Danio rerio: one gene and its partner. The protein of the gene in region 1 purifies or fractionates together with the protein of each later gene. This does not show direct contact. Links are inferred from orthologs where the notes say so. Each region holds a gene or a part of one and is shown on either strand. Other genes may lie near its edges.

Region 1 (16,426 bases):
TGAAAAAGACAACACAAATGTTCTTATAACGGGTAGGTCAAGCATGCTTAAAGTATATCGACTTTAGTGGTCCTACATGTCATCTTCTGGGTTAGCCAGTCATGTCAGTTTGGGTTATCCGTAGTGAAATAGATTTTTGACAATTACTGTTAAACCTTTAACGGTTCAAGACACATTGGAGTACTTTTTAAAAAAAAAGTCAGTCAAGACAATGTTAGCACCTGTCAGCTTTAATTGTGGGGAAAACTGGATAATTTTGAGCTTTTGTCAGCTTATTTCAGCTTCTGGGTTTAAAATCATTTTTGGATCGAGATCAAAATTGGTGGCGTATCGCGAATCTGCTACTCAAGTGATGATGTTTTGGTTTCTCAATATTATTCACAGCAGACTTTTCCTATCCTATGAGAACACCCTTCTTGACTGCAAGTGCTTTCTGAAGCAAGGCAGACTTGCCTAGCTGTGAGACCCAATGATTGGGCGAGACTGCGTCTGTGCACAGCACGGGTCGTATGTGTTTGTTTCCTTGTCATCTGGGTTTGTTGCATGTGTTTCCCCACGATGCTGTCAGGGCCGATACAGCAAAGATATTGGTTTGCAGCAAGCAGCTTTGTCGGGAGAGCTGTATGAGAATTGGAGAATAGCAAACTTTAGCTGCGTCCTAAATTGCATACTTATGCACTATTCTACCCCATTTTGTAGTATGAATAGTGTAAGTAGTGCGTTCACACTAAAAACTTTAAAAATAATAAGTGCACTTTAATTACCCGGATGATGCACTCGTTCAGCTGGTAAAATGAAGTGTGGAATGATGGACACTTCTCGCACTCAACGACCGCAGGTTTGCCCACATAGCGGAAGGGGATGCTATCGGGCGCACATGTTGGATAACTTTATTTATTTTGGATGGTAAAAGCAAAATTCTCCTACGAGAGAGATTATAGCGCCTCCCGGTGGTGAATGCAGTTATTCTCACGGCAGGTATTATTTGATAATTCTGTCAATTATTTCACTGATTTGGCAACTGTCAAACGTCATTAGGGAAACGGTTTGAATTTCCGCTTGGTAAAAAAACATAAGTGCTCCATTTGGGACGACACTACATACATATACTATCCTGTTGAGTGTGTAAGTGCAAGAAATGTGAAAGTATTTTCTATACGTTAAACAGAAATGGGGGGGGGGATTTGGGAATAAACGGGGGCTAATAATTTTCCCTTCAACTGTATGTGCAGAAAGCAATTTGTTATATAAATAAACATGGCATGGCTCAATTAAAGTATCTAATAGTAGAGGTGGGATGTAAACATCCACAGCTGTGTCTGCACCAATAGCCTAGTGGGCAGTGCGGCAAAGCTTTCCTGACTACCTCTCTCTATCTCCATCAGCATCTCCAACTTTTCTTTCTGTTTAGCTACTGCCCTGTCAGAATTAGGGCAAAAAGACCCAAAATTAAATCTTTTTATAATAGATAAATACTTTTTTTGAATAACTGCTATTTTCACACCATTGTCATTTGAGTTGTTTTTATTTTGATATAGAAAGGAAAGTGCGGCACATATCTTACATACCTAAACATTTTACATCTCTTATCTCTTGTGCAGTGTCTGGAATTTTTTAACAGTATATAATCTTATCAACAAAAAATAAAAATAAAAAATATAAAAATGCAGCAAATAAATCAGGTCCTTTTTTTCCACTTTTAAAAGAAATACTTTTAAATCTGGCAAGATCTGTCCCTGTGACTTTGAGATTGTATCAGCTGATGTTTTGTGGTGTTATTGATTGTTCACAGAGGAAGAGGGGACAGATCTGTGCTGTGTGATCTCCAGTCTGGCTCAGATAATGCTGGACCCATATTACAGAACACTGATGGGTTTCCAGAGTCTGGTGCAGAAGGAGTGGGTGGCTGGTTGCCATGCCTTCCTGGATCGATGCAATCACCTCCATCAGAAAGACAAGGAGGTAATTATTGCATGCTTGTTATAGCCTGTTGTTTCTTCAGAGGCTTAGAGGAAAGGTTACTGTTTTATACTTTCTCTTTTTTTTGTTGTTGTTAACCTTTGATATCTGCAAGCTGTTCTGCAACCAGAAATACAAGTTGCAAACCTGTCTTTAATCAGGTTACAAAATTATGTCATTTGTAATCATGACGTGTTCGTCTGGAATAATTAAGCATAAATTGCCTCAGAGGCTAGGTTGAAAAAGTCAATTTTTTCTTTTTTTGATCCACAGGAAAATTTATTTTATACTATATTAAATCATATACTGACGTTTTGAGATCTTTGTTGAATTCTTCAGTGTGAATTAAACTTGTTTTTAAACCCAATGTTTGATAGCATAATATATGCAACCCATAATGTTTTGGAGCAATTATCAGAGTCACGTCAGCAACGTGCCCAAAATAGATGTTTAGCCCTGCCCACTACCACGAAGCACTGTGAATAACATAACCCATTCTCATAATTCTATACCTAAACATGAACAGTTCAAATGCAAAAGCCTATAAGTGCCATCTGAATTCGTCTACAATTAGGATTTTTCTCAGGCTCCACATGTGTGTAGGTTCAGTTACTTCAATTTTAAGATGAGGAATAAGTTAATTTCATTGCCTTTATTGAGAAATAACTGAATATAAACATAATAGCCTGAAAAAAAACTATATGGCACTTTTGAATCTAAACTCTTTATATGCACATTTACTGTTGATGCACATTATTAGCATCTGTTGGCACAGAGCTAGTATGACAGAAATTGATTGGAAGGATTGGTTGATCTCATACGAGTAGCTGGTTGTTCTCCCATGTTCCTGTACAAAAGACAAGAAAACTCTTGGCAAGAGGAAGCAGAAGTTATTTTGATAAAAAATGATGAGAGCATGAACTGAAATAGAAATTTGTACCGCTAACTAATTTATTTGAGATACTTCAGTGTTCCATAATTAAGCAGGGATGTCAGCTCTGAGTTCATAATGACGAGTTTAATTGTTGTTTGTCATCATGTAGTGTCATTCTCCGGTCTTCCTCCTGTTCCTGGAGTGCGTGTGGCAGCTTGTTCAGCAGCACAGCCCGGCTTTCCAGTTTTCCGAAACCTACCTGACTGTGCTATCTGACAGTGTTCATGTGCCAATCTTCAGCACCTTTCTCTTCAACTCTGCTCATCACCGAGAAAGTGTAATGAAGGTATTGTAGAACTTCTGTACTTGATTTTATGGAGTAGGCTGAGATTTGTTATTAAACTGATTAAACTTTACAGGGATACTTCATCCAAAATTTAAATTTTGTCATCATTTATTGCCTCTCCACTAGTTCCAAGGCTGTTAGAGTTTCTTTTTTCTGTTGAACATAAAAGAAGATATTTTGATAAATGTTGGAGACCAGTAGTCAATAACTTCCTTTCTAACCAATGTGTTTCGTGGTTACTGGTTTTCAGCATTTTTCAAAATATCCTCTTCTGTGCCCAACAGAAAAAGCTCCTTAAAGTATGAAACCATTTTAGGGTGTTTAAATGGGCAATGGGGCAACACAATGGTTTAGTAGTTAGCACTGTCTCCTCACAGCAAGAAGGTCGCTGGTTCGAGTCCAGGCTGGGTCAGTTGGCATTTCTGTGTGGAGTTAGCATGCTCTCCTCGTGGCTTGCGGTACAGGTCAATTAAATAAACAAAAATTTTGCTCTAGTGTATGTGTGTGTGGGTGTTTCTCAGTGATGGGTTGCAGCTAGAAGGGTATCCGCTGTGTAAAACATATGCTGGATAAGTTGGTGTTTAATTTCGCTGTGGTGACCCCTGATAAATAAAGAGACTGAGCTGAAGGAGATTGAATAAATGAATGCATAAATGGGTAAAACAGTTTGGGTGAGCTGTACTGTAAAGTTAGTTTACTACACAGTTTTTGGATGTTGAGTACTGCTAGATGTCTCTTTAGATGTACTGTGGCTAAAAAGAAAACAGTCAGCCATCTGTAAAGCAGTCATTAGTCTACATGTACAGTCGTACGCCTCTCTGTAACTGCCTGTACTTGATTGTCTTGGCAGGCCGAGTCACCGATTGCACAAAGCAGGCCATTGAGCTGCCCTACAGTGTGGGACTGGTCGGTGCAGTTTGACAGCAAGGCCCAGAATTTCTTCTTTAACCCTCTGTATTCAGAGAAGGTGAAACATGAGAGAACTGTTCGTAGACCTCACAAACACAAGGTAAGAACATGAAATCCTAACATTAACCATCTCTTACATTTTACACTGTTTAATAATGTAGATGCAGATATGAACAAATGAACTCCTTAAGGACTGTGTTTACATCATATAATATATGACTGTAATTATATTTTAAGTGATATACCGGTAAGTGCAAATGTTTTATAGCAAAACTATTCACAGACCCAGATTTTTAAACTTTAAAATCAACACAATAGCAAGAAACTGAATGAAGTTTAATACAATTTAAAACTAAAAACTTTAAAGCTGAGGGTCCTTTTGTTATAACTAAAATATACACTACCAGTCAAAAGTTTGGGGTCAGTTTTTTTTTCTCCATGTTTTTAAGAATATTATTCTGTTTATCAAGGCTGCATTTACTAAATGTAAAAAAAATGTTAAATATTCAAAAAACTTCAAATAACTGCTTTGTTATTGTATGTAGGTTCAAATGAAATTATCACTCTAGTCATTATTGCTTTTGTTTCTATTACCATTAATAATAATAATAACATTAATAATTAATATCAGAGTGCTTTCTGAAGGATCGTGTGACTTTGAAGACTGGATAAATGAAGCTAAAAAAATCTTTAAAATCACTGGAATAAATTTTTAAATTAAATGATGAACTACTTTTGAACAGTTATTTTTTACTGTAATAATATTTCACAATTTTACTAATTTCTACTGTATTTTTGATTGAATAAATGCAGCCTTGGTGAGCAGGAGAAGCTTATTTTAAAACTAATCAGACTGACCCCAACTTTGTACATTACAGTTTAGTTTAGATAGTAGCCAAGTATTTCTGTATTTAAATTAAATATAATTTTATGTTAAAAAATAAACCACAAAAACGAACTAATCTAAATGACAAACGCACAATAAAATTGATAAATGAACTAGAATTATAACGAAAAAAGTGGAAGCTAACTATAATGGATTCTTAATGATACTAAAAAAACACTGCTGCGAAAAACATTTAATATAGTCGGTTTATCAGTCTCTGTGAAGCACTGCAGGATGTATTAGCATTTATGCACATCATTACTTTAATAAACCACAAAACACATTGTTCAGTAATCAGTTGCACTTGAATAAATGTCACAATAAGGAAGGACAAAAACTTCTATTTCATTCTGACATAAAAACACACAAAGATCTCATTTCACTTTAACCTTTTGGTTCAAAATGAAAACAAATACATTTTTAGTATGTCAGATAAATCTCTAAAATGTGTGTGTAAAGGTCAGGTGTAATAAAATCATAGCTATGCACTGCTAGAGTTTTTCAGTGTTTTGGTGACATCTACAGTCAAGAAGGAAATTACAAGTGACATCTTACACCATTTTGTTTCCTTTTGCTTTTAATTTGTTTGAATTGTACTGTGCTTTTCTTTTTGAATAATTCACAGTGTGTTTTTGCATGCATATTTAATTGATTTTGATTTCAAATCTATAGCACCAAAGGCAGTTATCCTTGCCCAGCTCAGCTTTCAAAACCCCAACCAAGAAAGGCTTCTTCAAAGACGAGACCGACAGCCTTAAGAAGATGCTCCGAGTGAAGCGTATCAGTCGCTGGATGGGCTCTCCAGACTCTCCCGTCGTCGCCAGCAAAGAGTTTTACGAGTCCTGGCAGCAGCGTCCCCTGGACTATCACGGGCTCCTGCTGCCCTCTCTGGATGGACCGTCTGTCCGCGTCTGGATGCAGCGCTACCTACGCTGGATCCCTGAAGTGCACATCATGGGTGGAGGCTCGGTGGCCATCATGACCAAGCTGATGGAGCTGCTGAGTCAAGTGGAGGATCTGAAGCGTGTGCTGGAGCAGAGAGACCCATCGCTGGCCACTCAACCCGATCACCCTCCACCTCTTCACCATCGGCTGCCCTCATTCGGTTCCTCAGGAAGACTCTCATCCTCGTTCCCCTTCACTTACAGCCGCAACCGTTCCTTCAAACCCATCATTCCCACAGGTCTAATGCAAAGCCTCATGGTGGCCGATAATCTGGCCAATCAGGAGGACGAGACCAGTTAGGCTGAGAGTTTGGTTTAATAGGAAATCTGTTTCCATCCATTAATGGTTATATTATTTAATAAGTATATTATAAGGTAGATACAGGATTAAAGTGGCCTTGAAGGTGTATAAAGTGCCTTTGGTGCTAAAGCGGGTCTTTTTTTGAAGTAAAACAGGGTTTTGTTCAACTAAATGTGCCCTACTGTATTGAAAACATAACATGAAAATTTAGACAGGATGTAGACTTTTTTTTTTGTGGAAGTTTTTTTAAGAACAGTACCTAGTATTTTCCTCTTGCTCATCACAAAACAGGAACAGGATACAGGCTTGAACTTCCAGGCTTTCCATTGTGTAAAGTGTTACTTAAAAGGGATATCGGAATAGCTGTTGTCAATTTGTTCTCCCTCAGATCATTCAAGATGCACCCTTTTTCTAAATAAGAACATTTTTACCTGGTAATAATGTGGTCATTGGTGACTACTAAAGTGTAAGTCTACAGCTTCCTGGACTTTGAAATGTTAAAAAAACATATACGGGAAAATCTAAATTTATCCTACTGATTACTGATGATTTGTTAAGCACAGGGAACTTGTACTCCAGAGGCACTCAGGTTGGTTTTTCAAGGATATGGAAAAAATGTTCAGTTTGTTTTTCATTCAGTTATGCTTCACATGGAGCCACAGATATTAAATGTTTTGCCTCTATATGTCTTTTTTCACCCTCAAAGTGTTGTTAGCTGTTGACATGCATTTTAAAAATCAGCAAGTACCATAGGTTGAGTAAAAATCTTCATTGTTCTACTGAAGGAAAAAAAAATCACCTTTGCATTTTGGATGGCATGAGGGTCATTATATCAACAGCAAGTTTTCATTTTTGGATTAATAAACCTTTAAAATCGATACCAAGTAACATTCCATACAGTATTCCATCACAGTGATCAGAATGAGCTTATTTTGAATAATAGAAAAGCTCAATCCAGCTTGTTTTCAGCTTTTTCTGGCAGGGAGAACTCTGAAATGTTGTCAACCTTCAGTTATATAAATGTTGAATGTGTGAAGGAGAACTTAGATTTTTTTAAGACCATTATATGAAAACAGGATGTATAGAACGACACACATCAGTTTCAGTGCTCTAATGTAAAACACACATTGTTTTGTGTGAATCGGATCTGTCCATCAGTAGGCTGTCTTTTATTTCATTCAGCCTTAGCTGCTATCATTTTTAGAACATTATGCGATCAGTTCACACTTTTAGAACAAAGGAGCACAAACAAATATTACTAACTTTATTACAATGAAATTGTAAGGACATGATATTGGTGATGCAAACCATTCTTTTTTTTTTTGTGATGATATAGATCAACCAAGCATCAGCATCACCATGGGTATTTTAGTCAGTGCTTACACAGATACAACAGTGGTGTTTGTGTGGAACTCTATATATGTATGGATCTAACAACAACAAATGTATGTGTATAAAACTAAATAAATTAGAAATAATTTTATACGGTAAGATTAAAAAAATCATCATAAACTGCTAATCCTTGTAACTATTGAAACATAAGCTATTGTCATACAGTATCTGCGTTTGTGCACATTTTCTTCTGTTTTTCTGCGGTGCCTACAGAACTACTGCCCCAAATTAACAGGCACTTCAGTCACATATTGTCTTCAGTGTCTGTTGTGCATCACTTTCTGTGTTTTTCTGCTGTTGTAATGTACTGAAACTGATGTAAGCTCCTGAAAGCACTGAACAGCTGGCAGAAGTGTGGAGAAAGCGGTTTCCTGACCATTTTTGTGTTTTTGTTTGCATTTTTCACTTTTGTTTTGCACTGCTGCTCTTTGCCAGTCAGTCACTGTTACTTGAACAGTCAGATGAGAGTCTGGTTCTGTTCACTTCAGTTCATCACTGCTCTTGTGTTTGACAAGGTGAACTTAATGAGAAACGTATCACTGTATCATTTTTTAAAATATTTTTCTATAACTAACTTTAAAGTTCACATTATCAGAGTTTGGCCTTGGATGTATATGAAATATTGCTTTATTTTGGAACATTGATTTTGAGATTATTATTTTCATGTAAAAGTAGCAAATACTTTTTATACGCACTTGAGAAATATGTACCTTTGACTTTATGTCCACAAAATATGATTGAAATAAAAAAAAAATAGATCAGTACTTTGCAATCGTGATCAGTGTTTTGTTGCTATGTTTATTTTATTGTTATTCTACTTGAATGTGCATATTAACAAAGCATTTTTGTTGTTTTAGTAGGATTTTGATTTGTGTGTTGGTGTAATTTTTTTCATTGTATATAGGACATTTAAATGATATAATTATATATATATTTAATTGTGTTTTTTTATTAGCCACAATTAATACGTTTGAATATTAATATTAACGTTTCTTATTTCACTTTAATTTAGTAAAATGCTTACAGTGTTAATTAACAAAATGGGCTAGTTAATTAAATTAAATAGATACTACCTAAATATTATGAAAAATGTAGTCTCGGTATGTAGTTCGGCAGGTTTTGGGACACAACCCGAGTACTGGGATGCCACATCCACTGCTGTTCCCGTCACGTCTGGACTGGTCGCCATATTAAACCTGACGGAATCGGCGACGGTCCGCGGTAGGGATCGCGAGGGGGCCCTTTCCAAAACAAATCCCGATATACACCTTCGTTTTCCCTTTTCGCCCTGGAAATCATTTATGCATCGGACTGAATAAGGCAGTGTGTTCTCAGACAGGGGTTGTCTGGGACGGAGGTTTTGTTTTAGTGTGTTTGAGAGAGAGAGAGATGAGTACTTTGACCCAGCGGAGCTCCGGCCTGGTGCAAAGACGCACCGAGGCTTCGCGCAGCGCTGCGGCCGCAGACAGAGAGCGCGGATCCGGTGACGAGGATTACGAGCCTCGTCGCGGAGAAGAGCCGGAGGACGATGACAGCGGCGACTCCAAAGAAACCAGACTCACCTTGATGGAGGAAGTGCTGCTGTTGGGCTTGAAAGACCGAGAGGTTATTGTGGTTTTGCTTTATTTTCTCAGTTGTTGTTTCTATAGTCGATGCTTAACGTTAGCATATTATCTCTCACCATCACCCACAGTTGTCGCTCATTTCGATGCTTATAAATTAGCTCTTTCAAAAATAGAAGAAGCTGAATTCTTAAATTTTGATGATTATTATATTTTGTTTATATATTGGTGACGTTTTGAGATAAAATCAAGCCACATGTTTTCGGTAATGCAATAGCATTTAGCTTGACTTGCACTGCAGCTCCAAGTTCTCTCTTTGACCCTCAAGACTCTCAAAACAAAACGTAGTTCAGTGAACAGAGTTTAAAAAACTGAACGATACCTTTAAATGTCTTAATATTACATATATTGTTTCATGTACCATATGGTAACCAGATTGGCATACACTGATATTGGCATATGAAAGTTACATAAAGCTAATTTTCGTCGCTGTCTACACAATGAGTTTGATGCCGTTTGTGTATTGCATTTTGGTAGATACAATGTTGTTCAAGACGCATGATGTAGGCCATTATCCTTACACCCACGTTCACATTCGTATGAAGCATGTAGATCCAGATACAGCCTGTATAGTCAAAACAATATTTGTTTAGGAACAAGTCCAGCGTAATCTTTATTACAGTGTGTCTTATTAAGGGTCAGATCATCCAGAACCAAGTGAAAATTAAAATGTACTATTTACTGACCCTCAAGCCACCCAAGATGTAGGTGACTTTGTTTCTTCAGTATATCCTAAAAGAACATTTTACTGAAAACCAGTGACATTGGGTATTTGTAAAATGCAAGTAAACAAAATTAATAGCAGAGGCTTCTGGTGACACATTGAGATTTTAAAAGATCACACAGAAATGAAAGTTATGTTAAAAACAAGTCCTTGTGCCATTCAATTTTGCCTGAGACATTTGTACATCTTCAGAACACAGATTAGGAGGTTCTCTCTGAGCCTTCTCAGACAGCAATGGTCAAAAGATGTTCAAAGTCCAGAAAAGAAAAGAAAACATTGTGAAAACATTGCGTGTGACTTTAGTGGTTTAACTGTAATCATACAAAGCTCTTGGCTAGCCAGTTAAGTTTGTTTATTTTGCACCAGTCTTGGGTTTTAAGTAATGTGCATGAAGCTTGACTTTAATCACTCATTGTTTGCCATGGTATTATGCAGAAGTTGAACTAAGCTGCCTTTATGGTACCTAAAAGCCTATATTGGTGCAAACAAAACTGAATTTAACCAGCTAGTAGCGCTGGACAATATATCGTTTGAGCATTGATATCACAATGTGTGTATCTGCAATAGTCACAGAGCAGGAATAGATTATTTATTAAGATATAAAGATATTTTCTTTTTTTAAAATAATTTATACAATGATGACAATGGTATTTTAAAATTGATTGTTCAATTTCTGGACCTGAATACTATTAAACTCCCCAGAAAACCGTAAAGCACTGCTTATTCCTTTTCTTTTTGCTTGTAATTTATCCAAATGAAAGCAGATGCACTGTATAAAAAATACTTGATCATTTAAATTTATCTAAATGAATGAAATATTTACAAATAGAGCTGTTCAAGTCATCTGGTGAGAGATTATATTCATATCTCAATATACATATCACAGAAACACTAAATATCGCAATGTCAGATTTTTTCAGTATTTGGCTCTACCGGCTAGCCAGCTAATCTGGCTTCATGGTACAGGCCCCTGGAACAACTTTGTTCACCAATCTCTTCTGTATCAGATAAGGGTGTGTTTTTACTATGGGCTATACAGCCAATGCGTGTTTTGCTGCTGAATTATGGCAATACATCATACTGTACATAGTAAACTTACCCTGACCTGATGTGAAAGAGAAGTTAAATAAATAAATAACAGTCAGATATATAGTTGTTTTTGTTGTGTTTTTCCTGACAAAAGTGTCATTGGAGCCAAGTTTGATTACAGTTAAAGGACAGGTGGAATGATTGACAATGTTTTTGGTTCCTTTTCTGGACTTGGAACATCTTCAGACCATAGCTGTCTGTGGAGGATGAGGAAGCTCTCAGATTTCATAACAAATATCTTAATTTGTTTTCAGAAGATGAGAAAAGGTGTTTATTTATTATTTGTAATCCGCAAATGATTCTGGCCATGTTCATGTCTGAAGTGTAAGTGTTCTGACACAGGCTGATGATGTATTTAGTGGACGCAAACTTCAGGAAAAGCTGAAGTACCATTTTAATGAACAATACAGAACACACAATCTTTGTCTGGTTGCTTCTGAGTTTGCAGCCAGCCAAACACATTCATTATCCAAAAGGAAACTTGAGCTAAAAACTGTGATAAAGGTTTTAGGACTCAAATTCTGGTAGTTTATTTGCATTTTATGAAACATGAAGATAAGATCAGTTTCAGATCGAATCACTTGCATTTTTTTTCTAAAGGAGTCCTGGAGGAGTTCGGCACTGCACAGTATTTTAAAAGTCTTATTCTCTTAAGTACACACTTTAAAACTTAAAACAATGAGCTGATAACATGCAATCAAGTTATTCAAATAATGAAGACGTCCAGAGTATGACGATAACCAGGACTAAGAACAAAGAAATTGCTTTAAGCTTCAACAAATCATTGGCTGCATTTAGTAGAACACAAAACTCCTGCTGTTGCAGCCATATATCTATATGTAATCGGATCTAATATTTAAATTAAATTATGTACAGCGATAAAATGTTTTTTTCCCATAAAATTATTGGTAAAAAAAATACAACCGAATTTGTATTAGTTATTAGCTTAATTTAAACAGTTTAAATGATTACAAATGGTAACTAACTTTTGGAGCCTTGTTGTACAGTGTTCTTAAACTAGAATGTAAAGTCCACACTAGAGGCTTAGTAGCTACTAGCTAGTTTGTAACAAAATTTGTACTCGGTTGCACCACATGTTCTTAAGGCAAAAAGTAGATGGTTGGTCATAAATACGAAGCATTTAAATCATTACACCACTTTAAAATTGTATATATATATATATATATATATATATATATATATATATATATATATATATATATATATATATTTATATGATGCATTTATAGGCTATAACTGTCATATGATAATTAAACGACCAGTTAAATTTACATATTACATAGTCGTGAATGGTTATACTTGCAAAATACACATGAAGTTATCATAATTTTTTTATATCCTACACATGAAAGCAAAACGAACAGGTAAAATAACTCCATCATAAAGAAATTTTCATTTTAATTGCTAAACACAATAAACACAAAACACTAAAAAACTCATTGAAATATAATTAAAGTCTTTCTCATAAACCAAAAACAAAATGCTAAATTTGGGAGGAAAATAAGGCTGTGGCTCTTCAATGTAAGCTGCCTTAAATATTTAGTAGTGCAACTGGCCCCAGCCGTACAAATAGTCACCGAATTATCACTCAATAATTCAGCATGCAGTAGGCTAAATTAACATGTGAAAATGTTCATGTTTGAACTATTAGGTTAACCAATTAAATGTACAAGCATCTAGCTGTTATGAATGTTTTACAAATACAATTAAAAATTCTTAAAAAGCACTCAAACACTTTTCATTATTTTGAGTTGTTTTTTTTCTCCCAAAGTGTCCACAAAATCATTCATTCATTTTCTTTTCAGCTTAGTCCCTTTATTAATCTGGGGTCTTAACTGGGGGCGGAATTAACCGCCTACTTATCCGGCATATGTTTTACGCAGCGAATGCCCTTCCAGCTGCAACCCATCACTGGGAAACATCCATACACACCCATTCACACACATACACTTACCCAATTCACCTATAGCTCATGTCTTTGGACTTGTGGGGGAAACCAGAGCACCCGGAGGAAACCCACAGAACACGGGGAGAACATGCAAACTCCACACAGAAATGCCAACTGACTCAGCCGAGGTTTGAACCAGTGACCTTCCTGCTGTGAGGTGAGCGTGCCACCCACTGCACCACCTTGCAGCCTCTTCACAAAATCATTATTGTGCAAATTCATTATCACAATATTTTGAATTATTAAATATTGCCATGTCTTTTCCACCATTGTGAGCTTCTTCCCTTTAAGTAGGATGTTTACTATGATTGTTCTTAATAAAGAGAGAAGTTTAAAATTAGCCAGTTTGGTGTTTTGGCTAACCCTTATTCAGAGCTATAATAGGTAGTGTATTGTACCTACCTCATTTTCTGGCCTTTTGGTTGAACAGGCAGGCATTAGACAAGGCACTGTTACTGAAGACGCATCTCTTTGCAGCCCATTCATGTTGAATTACTGCCTGTTGCTTTTGTTTTCTCAGCAACAGTGGCTTTTGGGTACAAAATGATGAGTATATTTCAGAAAATTGGTGTTTTTTTAAGCCAATGTCTTGGTTTTTTGCTGTCAATTTGCAGTCTAGCAGTGTCCTTGTCTTGTTTTATTTGCAAATAAGGTGTGAGCTTTAATGGGTGAAAGTACGCTTGCATGATTGGTATTAAGGACAGCTTTTTGATGAATTTTTAAAATCTATTTGAAACATAACTGCTTACACTTGGCATCTCAGACTGTCGAATTATTGCTTTTTTTTTTTACACAATAGTAGTTTGACGTGTAGATTGGTTCAGATTCTTTCACAGTTATGTTTAGGTGTTTCAAATTCATTCAGCAACTTAGATTGATTTCTGAAAGTTGCAAATGTTGTACAATTTGTTTAGTGTATCAAGTTTTAAGGGTCTTGATCATAGTGAACTCATCTCTATTTTTATTTGATGAATATTTGACCGTGACCTTACTCCATCAAGTACACATTTAATGAATAAAGTACAATAAAGGCCACTGTTTTGCATGTGGTTGGTCTTCTCCAAATAGTTGTCTTTAATTACAGTTGTCTCTGCTGGTGTCTGCTTATGTCAGCTTTTAGTGAGCTCTCCTATGTTGTTGTCAGAGCTTAAGTATCTGGTTCACTCTCATAACAGCACAGTGTAAACAAGAAAACCATAACTAAACATTTGAGCTTGAACACTGTTGTTTGATGGAGCAATATTGTCACATGCCTTCAGTGCAATTGTTCAATACTTTCATATTTTCATCATATCTTGTTTTGTCTAGGCAGGGAAATAAACAAAGAATCATAAATGGTGATCATAAAACGTCAGTACTACTACTGTAGTGAGATTATTTTGAAAAATACCTCTTGCACTTTGAGAGACTACAGTGATAAACAGAATCAGTGTAAGCTAAGTTTTTATTTTTGGTATAAAGGAATAGTCCTCCCAAAAAGAAAATTCTGCCATTATTTACTTGACCTTAACCAAACCAAAGTTTATTTATTTATTTAATTTTTTTTGTCTGTTAAACATGCATTTATTATTTTAAAGAATAATAAAAACTTGTAACTGATGACTTCCATCAGATTGGTTTATCTCTACTATGGGAGTCAGTGGGTTCGAGATGGGTCTGGGTGCAGACCTGGTGCAGTGCAATCTGAGCTGCATCCAATGCTTTTTAATCGGCTCACCTAACCCCACCCCTAACCCTACCCCTCACAGTGATGTCACTCGCTCAATTTGAGTGCATTGTGTCTGACATTGCATTGCTGAGTAATGCAATCTCAGCTTGCATCATCAAGGCTGCATCCAGATACTATTGATGGGTTCAGGTTCCAACTTTCTTTAAAATATCTTTTTCATTCATTCATTCATTCATTTTCTTTTCAGCTTAGTCCCTTTATTAATCTGGGGCCACGAAATGAACCAGCAACTTATCCAGCACATGTTTTTACGCATGATGCCACCCATTACCGGGAAACACCCATAAACTCTCGTTCACACACATACACAGAAATGTCAACTGACTCAGCCAAGGCTCGAACTAGCAACCTTCTTGCTGTGAGGCGACAGTGCTACCTACTGCGCCACTGCATTGCCCAATATCTTCTCGTGTGTTTAACAAAATAAAGAAACTCATAAAGGTTTGTAATCACTTGAGGGAGAGTAAATATTGAGTGAATTTTCATTTTGGGTGAACTATCTCTTTCATTTTTAATGGAAACCTTTTTTTCCCTGAAGTATATAATAAATGTTTTTTTCTAACCTCAAACTTTTTACCTTTCTTTGTCAGCTATAAACTGAATTGCCAAAGTTTACAAACTAACAATTACAATGAATAAAGGTGCAATTTAAGCAAAAAAACACTTAGCAATTCTTTAAATGTTAAGGAAAAGGTCATAAGAAGTCAAAAATTTGAGCAATATGATTACTTTTTTGTTTTTCTGTGGTAGAAACATACTTCCATAGGTGATGTAGACCTTTTAAAGGATAAAATATATTTTAAAGTAAATGTATAAATCACATTTTACTTTTTAAAATGAACACAGATCTTTCAAAACATCAGTTGATTATGCACAGTTGTTTTATGAAAAAGCAGCTTGGATATTTGACAGAATTTCCACTTGATTAATCTGTATATTTAATAGCATGTAAAGTGTATTTATATAGCACATTTATTGTGACCATACGCGGAAAGCACTTTACAATCATATGAGGGGGTCTCTATAATTATCAATTGTATAATAATGTTGTAATATTTAGTATTATTATCAATGAAAATTAATTTTGCGTTTTGAGTAGACTATACATGTTCAGTTAAAAGAAAAGTTTGTGGAAGTGTACCAAAGTTACATAGTTTCTCTTTTAAACTTTAAATAAAAATCTAAATTATTAATTATATTATCCACTATTATAAATAATGTAAAAGAAAATGAATTTGTTCGCATTTACATGAAGCTCTGCATTTCAATGAACATGACTTGTTAAAATGTTTGATTATTTAGCATTTCTGTTGTGTCTCCGTCAAGGGCACAGACCTCTAGTCCTATCCTCTTTCAATCAGATCTATTTGAAAACAGTGCAAAGTAAACAGTTCTTCAAAAACACTGGATGATATAACATTGTGCTTCTATCAATGGCTGTTTGCGCTTGTGCTCCACCTCAGAGTGTTGCCTGTGTTGCCAGTACCTTGAAAGAGGCCTGTTGTTTCTTAGCAGTGGCCACTGGGACGGAGGCTGGAACTGCACAAAGCAGACCTTGTTAACGCTGGAGAAATCCATCGCTCACTTCATACACTGCTTAGTACGACACAGCAGACTTACTATCCCATGCTGTTGGGCAAAATTTACTTTTTTAGTTCATGAATTCAAATTAGGCACTGACT
Region 2 (16,309 bases), on another chromosome or scaffold:
TTTAAAGGGAATTAGCCATTTCTCCTCAAATTAAGTTGATAATAAACTAATTTCTTTCTGTACGAATCGTCAAACAGACAAGGGTGCTCTTTAGTCCTGTCAAACCTCCACTAGTTTTTCCTCCATTTCTTGGGTCCAAATAAACCGAAAAAGATCACTTTTAACTTCTTCCCCAGCCTCCCGCTGGCCTGGAGCAGCTATACACACACACACACACACACACAAGTGAATGCTGCACTCTCATTGGCTGTAGGCGATCGCTGATGTTATTTTAAGTCAAAACTCATTTTACAATGCATGATTTAAATCGCAGACAGCTCCACATATTTAGCACGCCAAATATCTCACAGGTATTATGAGGATTCTCTCAGATCGCGTTTTTGATAGTTCATACTGTGTGATTGTCACTCACGTGCACGAGCACCGATTTGCCTGTGATTTCAGGTATTTGTCGGCGATTTCTCAAAACCTGTCTGCGAGCCAAAATCGGGGCTAAAATCACGCAGTGTGAACGAGGCAAAACTTTTTCATCATCAGTGTGGAGTTTTTCATTAATGTTTAATCACTCGCTTTTGACTAAAGTGGAAGGTACAGTTGAAGTCAGAATTATTCGCCCCATGTTTATTTTTTTTTCTCCAATTTCTGTTCAACGGAAAGATTTATTTTAAAAACATTTCTAAACATAATAGTTTTGATAACTCGCTTGTATTAACTGGTTTATTTTATTTTTGCCATGATGACAGTAAATAATATTTGACTAGGTATTTTTCAAGACACTTCTATACAGCTTAAAGTGGCATTTAAAGGCTTAACTAGGTTATTTAAGTTAACTAGGCAGGTTGGGGTAATTAAGCAAGTTATTGTATAATGATGGTTTGTTCTATGGACTATCGAAAAAACTATAGCTTAACTTTTTTTCTTTATAAAATCCACTAAGGGCATCACGGCGGCGCAGTGGATAGCACAATCGTCTCACAGTAAGAAAGTCACTGGTTTGAGCTTTGCCTGAGTCAGTTGGCATATCTGTTTGGAGTTTACATGTTCTCCCCATGTTGGTGTGGGTTTCCTCCGGGTGCTTTGGTTTCCCCCACAATTCCAAAGACATGTGCTATGAGTGAATTGGGCTATAAGCTAAATTGTTCGTAGTGTATGTGTATGAATGAGAGTGTATGGATATTTCCCAGTGATGGGATGCAGTTGGAAGGGCATCCGTTGGATAAAACATATGCTGGATAAGTTGGCGGTTCATTCCGCTGTGGCGACCCCGGATTAATAAAGGGACTAAGCCGAAAAGGAAATGAATGAATGAATAAATCCATTACAGTTTACTTTCAACAATGGATTATACAAACACTCACCCTTCTAACAACAAAAAGAGACTATAATTACATTCCGGCACAAACGTACACACTTGAAAGTGCCAAACATCAAAACCTTCACTTCCATTCCACTAAATTTTTTTTTTTTAAAGACTCTGTGGGCAAACAGCCTGTAGTTCAGAGCCATGACAAACACAAACTCAACTCTCTCTCAGCTCTCGCTGATCTCAGCCTGAGGCTTATCTGTGTTTGAGAAGCTAACATTGCAAACACTTCTACTACACACACATACACACACTTACTACAGTGGTCTGTGCACTTAAATGCTATATGTGGAACCAGCCCACTCGTGAAAACTGTACAAAAACAACAGTTTGGCAGAAACCCACAAAATACATTGTTTTGGTTATATAACAAAATCCCATTGCAACGTTTCTTTCTAATGCAACAGTACATCGATCTGCATTGATTCTCTCTGTAGCCTTTGTGAAGAGCAACGATGAAAAGCAAAACAGAAAAACAACAAATCCACATGCAAGACTTAATAATAACAACCTATTAGAATCAGTTTGAGAGTTTCTGGGAAATTACATTAACTGATAATACGTATGCGATTTTATGCCTTGAAAATATGAGTGTTCTGTAACGCACTGAATCTTTTGTTGCAAATACTCCTAATTTTAACAAGCCATCAAGGTCAAGTTTATCTCTCATTGAGTTTCATTATAGCTGTAGAGATTTCCAGGAGCTCCAGATTTGGAGTAATAATTTCTCTAACCAATACTGTGATGCTGCTTAAGTGAAATAAATAAACTTTCACACACTCTTGCTTACTTCGCTCTTTATTTGTCTTATTTATTTACTTATTTTCATATTTTTAGCTATTATTTACAGTTGAAGTCAGAATTATTAGCCCTTTGCCATGATGACAGTAAATAACATTTGACTAGATATTTTTCAAGACACTTCTATACAGCTTAAAGTGACATTTAAAGGTTTAACTAGGTTAATTAAGGTCACTAGGCAGGTTAGGGTAATTAAGCAAGTTATTGTAAAATGATGGTTTGTTCTGTAGAGAATAAACAAATAGCTTAAAGGGGCTTATCATTTTGATTTAAAAAATTTAAAAGTGATTTTATTTTAGCCAAAATAAAACAAATAAGACTTTCCTTGGAAGAAAATATATTATAAAACATACTGTGAAAATGTCTTTCCTCGGTTAAATATCATTAGGGAAATATTTAAAAAAGAAAAAAAAATTAAAGGGGGGCTAATAATTCTGACTTTAACTGTAAAACAGTCAAAAATGCTGGGTTCCCCATAATTCCTTTTATGTTGTCCCAACACAAATGGATTAAGTTAACTTTAATTGTTTGTACAAAAGTAGATTGAATATAAATAATAAAAAGTGCCGTGAGCTGCTTTGAAATGAAATCCTATTTGATGTTTGACGTAATCTCAACCAAAACACAGAAAAAGGGACATAGTGTAGCTCCTTACCCTTTTAAAAAAATAGCCAATGTCATTTTGTTTTTATCACTGCTCTGCCAGTGAGAGCGATTGAGCTCAATCGCATCAAATGAAAAGCAAATCGTGAGAAGCGTCTTGAAGGCGGCGGGGCTTGTCAGATACTAGAGAGCATTTGATTGGTTATGATGTGATGAGAAACTGTAGCGTGAGGTAAAGTGGAAAAAAAAAATCATTGCTCCATTTTGGTGGAAGTGACAAACTGGTTATATCAAGTTTATATCTTCTAAATGCAAATTTTGTCACAGTTTTGGAGCACACTAGCTAGCATATGGATATCTTAAAAACTAACAATACTGATACTAACAGAAATTAATTTCATAGGGCTTTTAAATTGTCCGCAAAAATCCCTCGACAATTGTTGATTCAGCTCATTTTAATTAGTAGTTTGAACAAGCAGCTAAAATATTTTTGGAGTGTGTATAAAATGTATATCCCCTTGTCATTAAAAGTCATGAAAGACTAAACTGCATTTGATATTTAAACATGTTTATTTTACCACACACAAGACAATATAATTACTTCTAGCTGTAGAATATTTTTAGCTTTTTTGTGCTATTTTTGTCTTCAGTTCCTAAAGACTACATCACTGTATGTTAATTTCCTACGAGAAGCAGCTTGTTTTTGCTTTTAGGTTTTGTGTGGCATAAAATCTCATCTATATATTCTCTGACACATACACCATTCAGTCCATCACATTTATTCATTTTGTGTCTTGACAGCTCTTTGATATAACAGGCTTTTATAACCACCACCAAAAAAAAAAAATCATTAAAGTTATTTTAAAAAGAAGCAACATTAAATTCATATTTTTTATATTTGCAGTAAAATTCATTGCAAGCGGCTGTACATTTTTTTTTTTTTTTTTTGCTGGAGATACTGTTGTCTTTAAAAACAAACACAAAAAGTTTTAAAAAATCATACACGTAGCTTTATTAAAACTTTTCCAAATTGCGGTACACCTTGAAAACGGTTATCGTCCCATGCCTACTTGCCACACATAGACTTTACTTGGATGGGTCACCGAAGTATGTCACGTTTATTTATTTTTACTATTATTAACATCCTTTTACACTTTTAAAATTGTATACGCCTAGTATAACCAATCTGCGATCAATTAAGTAGTGTAAAATCTTCTCTCGTTTACCCGTTTCGTTCTGTGGGAGAAAGCCTGTCAGCACTCACACACAAACTTCCACAGCTTTGCAGACCCACAGAGGCGCACTTTTTTTGTCTGGCCCGAATTTCGAAATCTCCTAAAATGTCTAAGATTCAACTTTTGCCATCGCTTTTTAAAGCTTTTATGCATTTTTGCATTTCGTTGTTATTAAAGACTATGTCATAATAAATAAAATTAATTTATTAATTCATTTATTCATTTTCTTTTCGGCTTAGTCCCTTAATTAATCTGGGATTGCCACAGCGGAATGAACCACTAACTTATCCAGCATATGTTTTTAACACAGCGAATGCCCTTCCAGCCACAACCCATCACTGGAAAACATCCACACACCCTCATTCACACACATACACCACTCACAATTTTAGCATACCTAATTCACCTGTACCACGTCTTTTCACTGTGTGGGGGAAAACCGGAGGAGTAAGAGGAAACCCATGTGAACATGGACAGAACATGCAAACTCAAGACAGAAATGCCAACTGACCCAGCCGAGGTTCAAACCAGCGACCTTCTTGCTGTGAGGCGAACGTGCTACCCACTGCGCCACCATATAAATCAAATTATTGTTAAAAATTACATTATGTTTTGTTTATCGCATATAGATAATAACTAGTATAACTATTTATGTGATGTTGGTAAATGGTGTGTTTCCATCTGGTTACCACCGCAAGTATATTTGAAACCTGTGGGAAGCACTGGTTTCAAAATGTTAGTTTTAAGGATATCTATTATCTAGTGTGGAGTAAGACAATAAAATTATTTGTGAGTAAAAGATATTAGCATGGTATAAACATCCGAAACTTGCCGTCTGTCACTTCCGCCAAAATGGATCTAGGATTTATTTTTTCACGTTACCTTATATTTCAGTTTCTCATCAAATCTTGACCAATCAAATGCTCTCTATTATCTGACATGCACCGCCCCCTTCAAGACACTTGAAGTTTGCAGTTGATTTGATGTGCTTGAGCTCAACCACTCGCAGTGGCAGAGCTGTGATTGGGTGTTTTTTTTAAAAGGGAGGAGCTACTCTATGCCTCACTCGCACTTTATGATTTAGTTGAGATTACGTCAAACGTCAAATAGAAATGCACATTTCAAAGCGCTTCACGACACTTTTTAAACAATTTCACAATACTTTTTGGGGTTTATCGCGATAAAGATATCATTTACATTTATTCATTTACCAATGAAAATAATTTCTATTTTTCCACAGAGAAAAACAGTACTGTGAAACACACGTTCTCATTCATACTGGATGCTAGAGGGCGCCTCATGCATTAACCACATGGTAAATTTAATAGAACCTTTTCACATCTCTGGGTTTCTCAGCAGCAAAAGTTGTCATAGTTGTGTAAATTTGGAGCACAGTAAATAAGAGAGTGCCTATTCGCTCAAATAATAAAATAAAACTCCACAAAAGTGTTTTTACGGCTTTCAAAAAAGGACAAAAACAATTAATGGAGACTGATAACGGTAGACAGAAGAGAGAAAATTTACTGTCCCGCTCATAGATGGTGCATTAAAAAAAACATCTCACATAAGTGGTAATTATTTTTTTTTTGTAATTTGATGCTAATATAATATAATAATTATATATAGCAAGTACAACTTCATAAACGGACAATATAAAATAATAAATCAAGATATGAAAAACATTCAATCAATTAGGAACCTGATAAACTGTTAAACAAGCCATTACCCTCTTGTGGGTCCATATTAAAAACAAATAAATAGAACAAAGTACTTAGAAAGTCTTGGAAAACCTCAGACAATACACAATATTGTTCCCTAAAGTACTTAGATTTTTAAAGACGTCAGCACACAATGCATATTCATCCAGTCTGTACAGACTCGCCTGAAAGTTGCCCATCCTCAGAATATGAGCTGCATATAAAGTAAAAATAATATTAATAAAAAAACGATGTGCACACTGGCACACAAAAACGAGGTCAGCAACACTCAATGCAAACTTCCGTCAACACCGCAATGATGTCATATTTGCTAGATGTGAATTTGTGGATGGGTTGAGTGTAAAGAGGGGTTTCATGACCTTTTAAACTACACACAACTGGTAAATGCTGCTGGCTGAGTGTTTCTGACGGCTCGAGAAGTGACCGCAGACCAACATTTTCTCTCTTCCAACCCATGTATCAATCAAATAATCAATCAATTAATGTTCCCTAATAAAAATGTCAGTTGAACACAGCTAAAGTTTAAAACTTCACTAGTGACAACCACGTTTATATAGAGACATGAATTTACCAAAATTACTGTTTGTTGTGGAGCTGTCATGATAGCTATTTTTGCAGGGCGATAAACTGCACCAAATTTAATTGTGATAAACAATATTATTGCCACTTTGAAACTTATATCACTAATAATAATAATAATAATAATAACATTTGTACAACCTAATAGTGTGATAATTCAGGTACACTGTTTCAAAGAACTTTTTTTTTTTTTTAGAGTTTAGACCTTTGAAATTGGAACATGAAAAAAATCCTAAAACAGATAAATAATAATAAATAACAGATGTAAACAAACAAGTGTAAGAACAAAATAACATGTTTGAGTCAAATTAGACTTTTCTAAGGCACCTTTACAGGCCATTTTTAATAATCAGACAATGCAACCATTTCAAAAACTCTTTTTTTCACATTGTCATTATGGGGTTTTGTGTGTAGAATTTTGAGGAAATAAATGAATTGAATCCATTTAGGAATAAGGCTGTAACATTAAAAATGTGGAAAAAGTGAAGTGTTATGAATACTTTCTGGATGCACCGTAGTAACAGCTTCCCCTTTAGAGCTTGTCTTATTCTACAGTCTGATATTCTGCTCACATGTAATTGGACATTAATGCATAATGCATGAACTCCTGCTTGTTGCAATTTAATGATATTTTGTTATTGTAAAATGGCTTCTTTATTTTTTAGCTTTTCAAATGTTCCAGTTTTAAAATGTAGCATGTTAAATTATTGATAAAATACATGTAATGTTTATTATTAGGGATGTAAATAACAGATAGATGGACAGATAGAAAGGCGGATGGATAGGCAGGCGGACAGATGGACGGACGGACGGACGGAGGGACAGGATAGATAGATAGATAGATAGATAGATAGATAGATAGATAGATAGATAGATAGATAGATAGATAGATAGATAGATAGATAGATAGATAGATAGATAGATAGATAGATAGATAGATAGATAGATTTCAATTCCTGTTTCTTGGACTCACCAATGGACCATTGGATATATTATGATAATGATTATGATTACTATCATTAACAATAATGAATTTTATCATGTGTTTTTTGAATGCAAAAAGCACTGCAAGCATAATAATTTACAACAATGAACACAAAAATAAACAATGTAAAATCCGGAAATATTACAAGGAGCTTTAAAAAGATGCATCATAAAATATTTCTTGAAGCAGTTCAAAGGTGAAGAAACTAATACCTGCTGGCAGAGCAGTTAACAACCGTGACACTGAAGACTGAGAAAACTCTATAACACAGAGACTCATCTATATACAGTTTGATGAGGAATGTGTGAAAAGGCAAGTTGGAGAATGACAGACAGCTCATACAGGTAGAGATAGTCCCCTAAAAGGACTCAAAAAAATATTTTTGATGCTTGTTTAAACTACTTTGTAAAATAAACTGAAACAACACAATTCTTGAGGGTAACATTGTAATTGTTTATGTTCACTCCACTCAACTTTGTAAAGATAATTGAGTTAACCTAATGTTTGTTGGGACAACATTTAGGAATTGTGTGGTATTTGTTTACAGTAAAGCTTTATATAGTAAATAAAAACAGTAATAATGATATTAGCTTTTTAGTTTTTGTCGTATTTGTCTGGCAAAAGTTGGCAATGTACGTTAATGAGGACAGTGGTCTTCTTGGTAACACCCATCCAGCAAATACTGGGAATACTCTGGCATGAATGTCCGACAAGGAAAAACAGTCGAACGCAAGGTCTGTTTTATAAGAAGAGACCTATATTCATACACCAGTCCAGATATTTGTAAAAGTGATCAGTTTTAAAGACGCACACACCCACACTCGCACACAGAGAGAGAGGCTGAACATCCAGGTGAGCAAGTGCACATTCATGCAGAGCCTGACTGGGTGGACCTGCAGCATATCCTGTCCACGCAGGCACTAATGACACACAACCAGCCATTCATACGGCACACACTCACAAAAACACACCTTCACCATCACACCTACAGTAATACGTAAAGCGGTTGTTCACGTAAGTTATAACGTTTAACGAGCAACTAAACAGCTTTTACTGATGAGGGTCAGTAAAGGAGCAGCTCGACTGACCGAGCCGCTGCTGTCATGCGCGTAAACACACCTAACATTGACTTTTACTACATTTACGCAAATAAAAATAACCAGCTGATTTAAAAAGAGTTTGTGTAACATCATGAAATGAACATAAATGTTCGCTCCCCCTTAGCTACCGCGACATTCTGTGTATTTTATAAGCTAACAGAGGTTAGCCTGCTAGCTTACGATTCTCTCGGTTTCTTCATATAACAGCGATGAAATAACCACGACTATGATCCGAGCACACGGATATGAGTTCACCGGAGGTGCACTTCTCTGTATGACTGTCCGCAGCTGCTGTTGGCGAGTTCAGGTCCTAGTTTTTAGTCAGAGGAGACCCGCACGGCTAACAGGCTAACAGTGAAACCGTGACATTTAAAAAGCATCGACTCACCCTTGCGCTACTGACGACACATGTGAGGTGTAAAACCCCCGAGCGTCAGGCAGTGGCCCCGAACATGCGTTTATCATTAATATCCACCCGCCTGTCGGTCAGCCTCCATTCATTACTGGTACTGCTGAATCTGATGCTGCTGGCTGTGTTGGTGAGTCTGATTCTCTCGGCGAGACTCTTCCTGACTGCGCGAACGCGAACACACACAGAGAGGGAGAGAGAGAGACACACACACACACACACACACACACTAGCACGCGTTAAAGTGCTCAGTTCATGTCATGGTATTTATGACATAATTTAGATAGATAGATAGATAGATAGATAGATAGATAGATAGATAGATAGATAGATAGATAGATAGATAGATAGATAGATAGATAGATAGATAGATAGACAGACAGACAGTCAGACAGACAGACAGACAGACAGACAGACAGACAGACAGACAGACAGACAGACAGACAGACAGACAGACAGACAGACAGACAGACAGACAGATAGATAGATAGATAGATAGATAGATAGATAGATAGATAGATAGATAGATAGATAGATAGATAGATAAGGGTGGATGATAGACAGACAGTTAAATGGACATAAAGGCTAGACTGACAAACACAGATGGGAAGATGATAGACAAACAGACAGACGGTTAAATGGACATATAGGCTAGACAAACAGAGATACAGACAAGTATACGGTAGACAGACAGACAGACAGACAGTTAAACTGACTGAGATACAGACAGGTAGATGATAGACAGACAGTCAGTTAAACGGACATAGTGGCTAGTCCAACAGAAATACAGACAGGTAGATGATAGACGGACAGACAGACAGTTAAACAGACAAATAGGACAGACTAACAGAAACACAAACAGATAGATGATAGACAGACAGATAGTTAAATAGACAAACAGACAAAGATACAAACAGGTCGACGAGAGACAGACAGACAGTTAAACAAACATATAGGCTACACCAGGGGTGGGCAAACTCGGTCCTGGAGGGCCGGTGTCCTGCATAGTTTAGCTCCATCTCTAATCAAACACACCTGAACAAGCCAATCAGTGTCTTCAAGATCACTAGAAATCTATTTGCAGGTGTGTTTGATCAGAGTTAGAGCTAAACTGTGCAGGACACCGGCCCTCCAGTACCGAGTTTGCCCACCCCTGGGCTAGACAAACAGACAGAAATACAGATAGGTAGATGATAGACAGTTAAATGGACATATAGGTTAGACAAACAGACAGAGATACAAACAGGTAGATTATAAAGAGACAGATAGCTAAGCAGGCATATAGTCTAGACAAACAGACAAAAACATAGACATCCAGACAGCAGAGGAGTAGATAACAGACAGACAGTTAAATGGCCATAAAGACAAACAGACAGAAATGCAGACGGACAATGATAGATGGACAGACAGACAGTTAAATGGTCATAAAAGCTAGCTAAAAAGACAGAGATACAGACAGGTAGACGATAGACAGGCAGTTAAATAGACATAGACAAATAGGCAGAAATGCAGACAGGTAGATTATAGACAGACAGACAGATAACGGACATATAGGCTATTTTAACAGACAGAGATACAGACGTGGATGATAGACAGACAGACAGACAGACAGTTAAATGGACATATACGTCAGAAAAACAGAGATACAGAAGGGTAGATTTTAGACTGACAAACAGCTAAGCAGGCATATAGTCTAAACAAACAGACAAAAATGTAGACAGACAGACAGACAGTTGAATGATCATATAGGCAAGACAGACAGAAATTCAGACAGGTAGAGGACAGACAGACAGACAGACAGTTAAATCGACACATAGGCTAGGCAAACAGACAGAGATACAGACTGGTACATTATAGACAGTCTGACAGACAGGCAGATGAACTGACAGACAGACAACGAACATATAGGCTGGACAAACTGACAAAAATATAGGAAGACAACAGAAAGACAGACAGTTAAATGAACATATAGGCTAGATAGACAGAAGTACAGACAGGTAGATAATAGATAGACAGACAGATAGACAGACACACAGTTAAATGGACATATAGGCTAGATTAACAGACAGAGATACAGACAGTTAGATGATAGACAGACAGTTAAATGGCATATAGAAAAACAGACTAAAATAAAGACAAAACGGACCATTAGACTGACAGACAATAAGATGATTGAAGAAATAGACAGACAGATAAACAGACAGACAGGCAAATAAACAGATAATTAATAATAAAACAAACAGGTAGACAGACAAATAGGTGGATAAACAACTGATAGACACATGGATAGAGATGTTTGCTTCTTGATTGTATCTTCACATTGGCGAACAGCAGGGGGAAGCATCGCATAAAACGACTGAAGATCTCCATTAACATCTGTGGCTAAACAACAGTCAACAGACTTTATATTAAGTGGACTTGAATATGACTGACTGACTATTAAAGGGCACAGTTGACATTAAATGAACCAATACACACGATCATGGTGGTCCAAAACAAGAGTCCAAACCTGCTTGGAACACAAGAGTTTTCATTTTGAGTGAATTGTTCCTTTAATTCTATTTTTTTTCTCTAAAAACAAAAGAAATCATTACTAGCAATCATCAATTACTCCCTCTCATGAGTAAAGCTCTTTAAAACCATTCATTTCTCTGCCGCTTCCTTCCTCTTCTGATTGTCTGAAACGCTGCAAAACCGAATGGCTCTGTCAGGCTCAAATTAACACAAGCCTACACTTCCTTTTTATGCGCGCACTGAAAATAAAATCAGTGAGCTACATCAGGAGAAGTCAAATCGTCTCCCCAAAACCCTGAAAGGCTCAGTGTTGTGCTTGTTGCGAGCTGTACTCTGTCACAGTATTAAATGAACAGCCTGGAGGATTGTGAAGTTCTTTCATGCTCCACAAACAATTTGTAGAGTTCACTGCACAGCAAAACCTAAGCGAGGCTCTTTCAGTGTAAAATGGTGGCTTTACACACACAAACAAACAACCCTCGGTTCTTTATGAACACTGCTTGAGCTGCACAGTCACTGACTGTATGTGCAGCTAAAAATAACTCCACGATCACACGAAGTAGAGCAGCACATCCAGAAGAAGATCCTCACAGAATCCCTTGCAGACTATTCTGAGATGAAACTGGTGTAAGTACACAGACATTACAGCTCATTTTACTTCCAATGTGAAACAGTATACAGTTTGCAACAATAGATTGCAGTAATATGGTACACACACTTCCGTCATGTGAACTCAATGTTGGTGTCAGAGATTGTGGCTGAATATGTTTGAGTTGCTTACTTTCCCATATATGACATACAATCACCGGCCACTTCTTTTTGTTTGATAGGTATACCTGTCCGACTGCTTGCTAATGCAAATTCCTAATCAGCCAATCACATAGCAGCAAATCAATGCATTTGGGCACGTAAACATGGTCAAGACAATCTGCTCCAGTTCAAACCTACGATCAGAATGGGGAAGAAAGGTGAATTAAATGACTTTGAACATGACACGGTTGTTGGTGTCAAACGGGCTGGTTTGAGTATTTCAGAAACTGCTGATCAACTGAGATTTTCACGCACAACCATCTCTGGGATTTACAAGGAATGATCAGAAAAAAGGAAATATTCAGTGAGAGGCAGTTCTGTCCATACGTTCACACCGAAAGCGGCGAGAGCGTCAAAGTAGCCGGAAATCATTAATTTTCAGTGAGAGCCGGCGGCGATAAGCGGTGAGGAGAAGCATGGCGCGTCTCCGCCGGTGTGAGTGTCGAGGAGAGTTGAAATCAAGTTAACTTTTTGGAAATGAGCTATGACGCAGTTCGGCGGCAAGCAATCAGAATGAAGAAGTCCACCGCTTGAGAGGAGTTCAGAGAGCACAGACCTGTGAACTTTGGTTCTGACTACAGTTGTCCCCAAGGGTTTGATTATTGCGGTCGCCAGATTTTCAATTATTTACAAAGTTTTCTTCCAGGAACATGCATTAAAAAAATTACTGGCGAGTTACTGATGTGCATTAATGTTAAATATATATATATATATATATATATATATATATATATATATATATATATATATATATATATATATATATATATATATATATATATATATATATATATATATATATATATATTTAACATAAATATATATATATATATATATCTTCAAAAAAGCGGGAATCTCATGCGACAGTACAAAACAGTATTGCTGCTTCAGGATATTTCAGACATATGGACACATTGAATAATTAAGTGGAGCAAAGCCGCACCACATTCAATTCAATTCAGCTTTATTTGTATAGCGCTTTTACAATGTAGATTGCGTCAAAGCAGCTTATCATAAATGGTCATAGTAACTGGATCAGGGTAGTTCAGTTTTTAGTGTTTAAGTTCAGTTAAGTTTAGTTCAGTTCAGTGTGGTTTAAAGTCATTACTGAGAGTCCAAACACTGAAGAGCAAATTCATCGATGCGTAGCTTTACCGGCCCCTTTAAATACGAGATCAATGTATCCATTTTTGATGCTCTCGCTGCCGGAGCTGAAGGCAGACGGTGTTGTTGCCAGGGCGGCCAGAGCGACCTTGGACGCTCTCACCGCTTTCGGTGTGTACGCTCAGTGAGGGTGCTAATGCCTTGTTGATGCCAGAGGTCAGAGGAGAATGGGACAAAGGGTGCCAGACTAGTTTGAGCTGATAGCAAGACAACAGCAACACAAAAAAAAAAAACACTCGTTACAACCAAGGTATGCAGAAGAGCATCTTTGAACACACAACACATGCAACCTTGAGGCGGATGGGCTACAGCAGCGGAAGACCACACCGGCTGCCACTTCTGCCAGCTAAGAACAGGAAACTGAGGCTACAATTCACACAGGCTCACCAAAATAGGACAGTAGAAGATTGGAATAATGTCCCCTGGTCTGATGATTTTTGATTTCTTTCTGCTGCCACATACGGATGGTAGAGTCAGAATTTAGCATCAACAACATGAAAGCATGGATCCATCTTGCCTTGTATCAATGGTTCAGGCTGGTGGTGGTGGTGTAATGGTGTGGGGGATATTTTCTTGGGACACTTTGGGCCCATTAGAACCAGCTAAGCATCGTGTCAATTCCACACCCTACCTGAGTATTGTTGCTGACCATGTCCATCCCTTTATGCCCACAGTGTACCAATCTTCTGATGGCTACTTCCAGCAGCATAACACACCATGTCTTAAAGCGCCAATCATCTCAGACTGGTTTCTTTAACATGACAATGAGTTCACTGTACTCAAATGGTTCCACAGTCACCAGATCTCAATTAATACAGAACCTTGAGATTCACATCATGGATAAATACTGTCAAAACACTACTTGTGACTTCAGTGGTTCAACTGTAATCACATGAAGCACAAAAACACTTTTGTGCACCAAAAAACCTTTAAATATCAGCACCTACAGTATATACTCTCACTTATCAGGTCATTTAGAGTCAGCAGTGCAACACACATGATGCATAGTACAGATATATTGATGACATAGATGAAGAAGTCGTTTTTTTATACATTTTTGGCACACAAAAGTTTTCTTGGAGTTTCATATGATTACAGTCGAACCAATGAATGAGAACTGAAAGTTTTTTTTTATTATTTATTTATTTTTTTACAATATCTTTAATTTGGGTCGTCACTGTGGAGCAGTGAGTAACACAATCGCCTCACAGCAAGAAGGTCACTGGTTCAAGCCTTGGTTGGGTCAGTTTGCATTTCTGTGTGGAGTTTGCATGTTCTCCCCGTGTTCCCGTGAGTTTCCTTCGGGTCCTCAGGTTTCCCCTACAAGTCCAAAGATATGCGTTACAGGTGAATCGGAGAAAGCTAAATTGTCCATAGTGTATGTGTTTAAATAGGTGTTTCTCAGTGATTAGTTGCAGCTGGAAGGACATATGCTGAATAAGTTGGCGATTCCGCTGTGGCGAGCCCAGATTACTAAAGGGAATAAGCCGAAAAGAAAATGAATGAATATCTTTAATGATATTTGTCCATTTCTGTCTATGGATGATGGGAGAGCTCTCAGATTTCATCTAAAATCTCTTAATTTGTGTTATGAAGATGAATGAAGGTCTCACGGGTTTGGAATGACATGAGGGTGAGTATTTAAAGTAGCACAATTTTTGCAGAAAGCCTTTAAGTCCACATTAAATGGTTGTTCATACCAATTATGCTCTTTTTAGATTTTTTACTTTAGAAAAGAGAAGTGTGCTGCACTTTTTATGTTGCTAGGCAACTAATTTATCTTGTTGCTAGAGGATTGTTGCTAGATCAGACACGCTTGTGGCTGTGAGTTGATGAAAATGATTTACTTTAATAAATTTCCCATTAATTGTATTTTATTAATGCTATCCTCACCCCAACCCTAAACCCAACCGTCACAGTAACATAAAACCAACAGTTGTACAGAGTATTATTTATCTTATTTATTACATTACCCAATAAATTGTATTTTTAACGTCTACCCCTACCCTAACTCTAAGGGCTGATTTATACTTCTGCATCGACTGATCGGCGTGACCCATGGCGCATGCATTGTACGTAGTCACGCATTTATACCTCTGCTGTTTGTGTTGCTCTGCAATAACACTAGCTGGCAGTAGGTTTTTATGTTCCTCTGTGTCGAGTTTTTTCATGTTTGTTTCTTCTGAATGCTACCTTAATGTAGCTAAAAAGTAGCTTAAACTTGCTCATTCAGAGGCGGGAAGCGGTGGATGTGAAACAACATTAGTCATAAGGTGAACACAAAATAAAAGTTTCCAATTGGAGCTCCTCCATGGGACATGACATTTGTAAACACTTACTGTACTCCATCTGGCTTGTGGTTAAGCACTGCCCACGCTCATCACCGGTACCCAAACTGACCAATCACAGAGCTTGCACTCTTGTGACATGTAGTTAAATTTTTTGAGAGGCGCATGCGAGCGTCGACGGCAGCCAGGGCAAGGGCTATGCGCCGGACCATACGCTTGCGCTTGAGGCAGAAGTTTAAATCAGTCCTAAACCAAACTGACACACTACTGTAAATTATGTATTATTGTTATACAGTGTCATAAAACATGATGCTATATTGATTTGCATATCCGCAGCTGTATCCTAGACTTGACTCTGCTGGAGCGCATTCCACACAGAGTTGACTTTTTCCCAACTGCAGATGCACAGAACGCTCCGTCAAAAACATGAGGTGCAGTGAAGATTTTATTTTCTAAACGTGTGTTTTAGAGTATTTTATTACCTTAGCATGTGTGCAGCAAACATGCCAGCCTGTAAACTAAAAATACTTTGGTATGACTGTGTGTAAGATGAGGACCCCTGCACAGGAGCAACACTATGAGATAACTGATATGTAAAGCACTGATTATATATGTTAAATATGAAGCTATATCGCCACCTTAGAATTATAAAGTTCTATCTGACATTTTTGTCAAAATTGAGTTATTCACATATTCTTATTAAATGACAACTTATTTACATTATAAAATGCTTTTTTAAA

What was found.
Region 2: the proteins of golph3a (region 1) and fam20b purify together in Homo sapiens (affinity purification with mass spectrometry; 3 studies listed by BioGRID and IntAct, with this or other methods). This does not show direct contact. The link is inferred for Danio rerio from reciprocal best matches to the Homo sapiens genes GOLPH3 and FAM20B.

The regions. Positions count from the first base shown.
Region 1 is NC_133180.1:42,015,634-42,032,059, reverse strand, and holds the start of golph3a (Golgi phosphoprotein 3), read left to right. Parts: upstream 1-8,795; 5' UTR 8,796-9,000; coding exon 9,001-9,216; intron 9,217-16,426. UniProt on the Homo sapiens protein: Phosphatidylinositol-4-phosphate-binding protein that links Golgi membranes to the cytoskeleton and may participate in the tensile force required for vesicle budding from the Golgi.
Region 2 is NC_133195.1:17,132,678-17,148,986, forward strand, and holds the start of fam20b (glycosaminoglycan xylosylkinase), read right to left. Parts: upstream 8,927-16,309; 5' UTR 8,773-8,926; intron 1-8,772. UniProt on the Homo sapiens protein: Responsible for the 2-O-phosphorylation of xylose in the glycosaminoglycan-protein linkage region of proteoglycans thereby regulating the amount of mature GAG chains.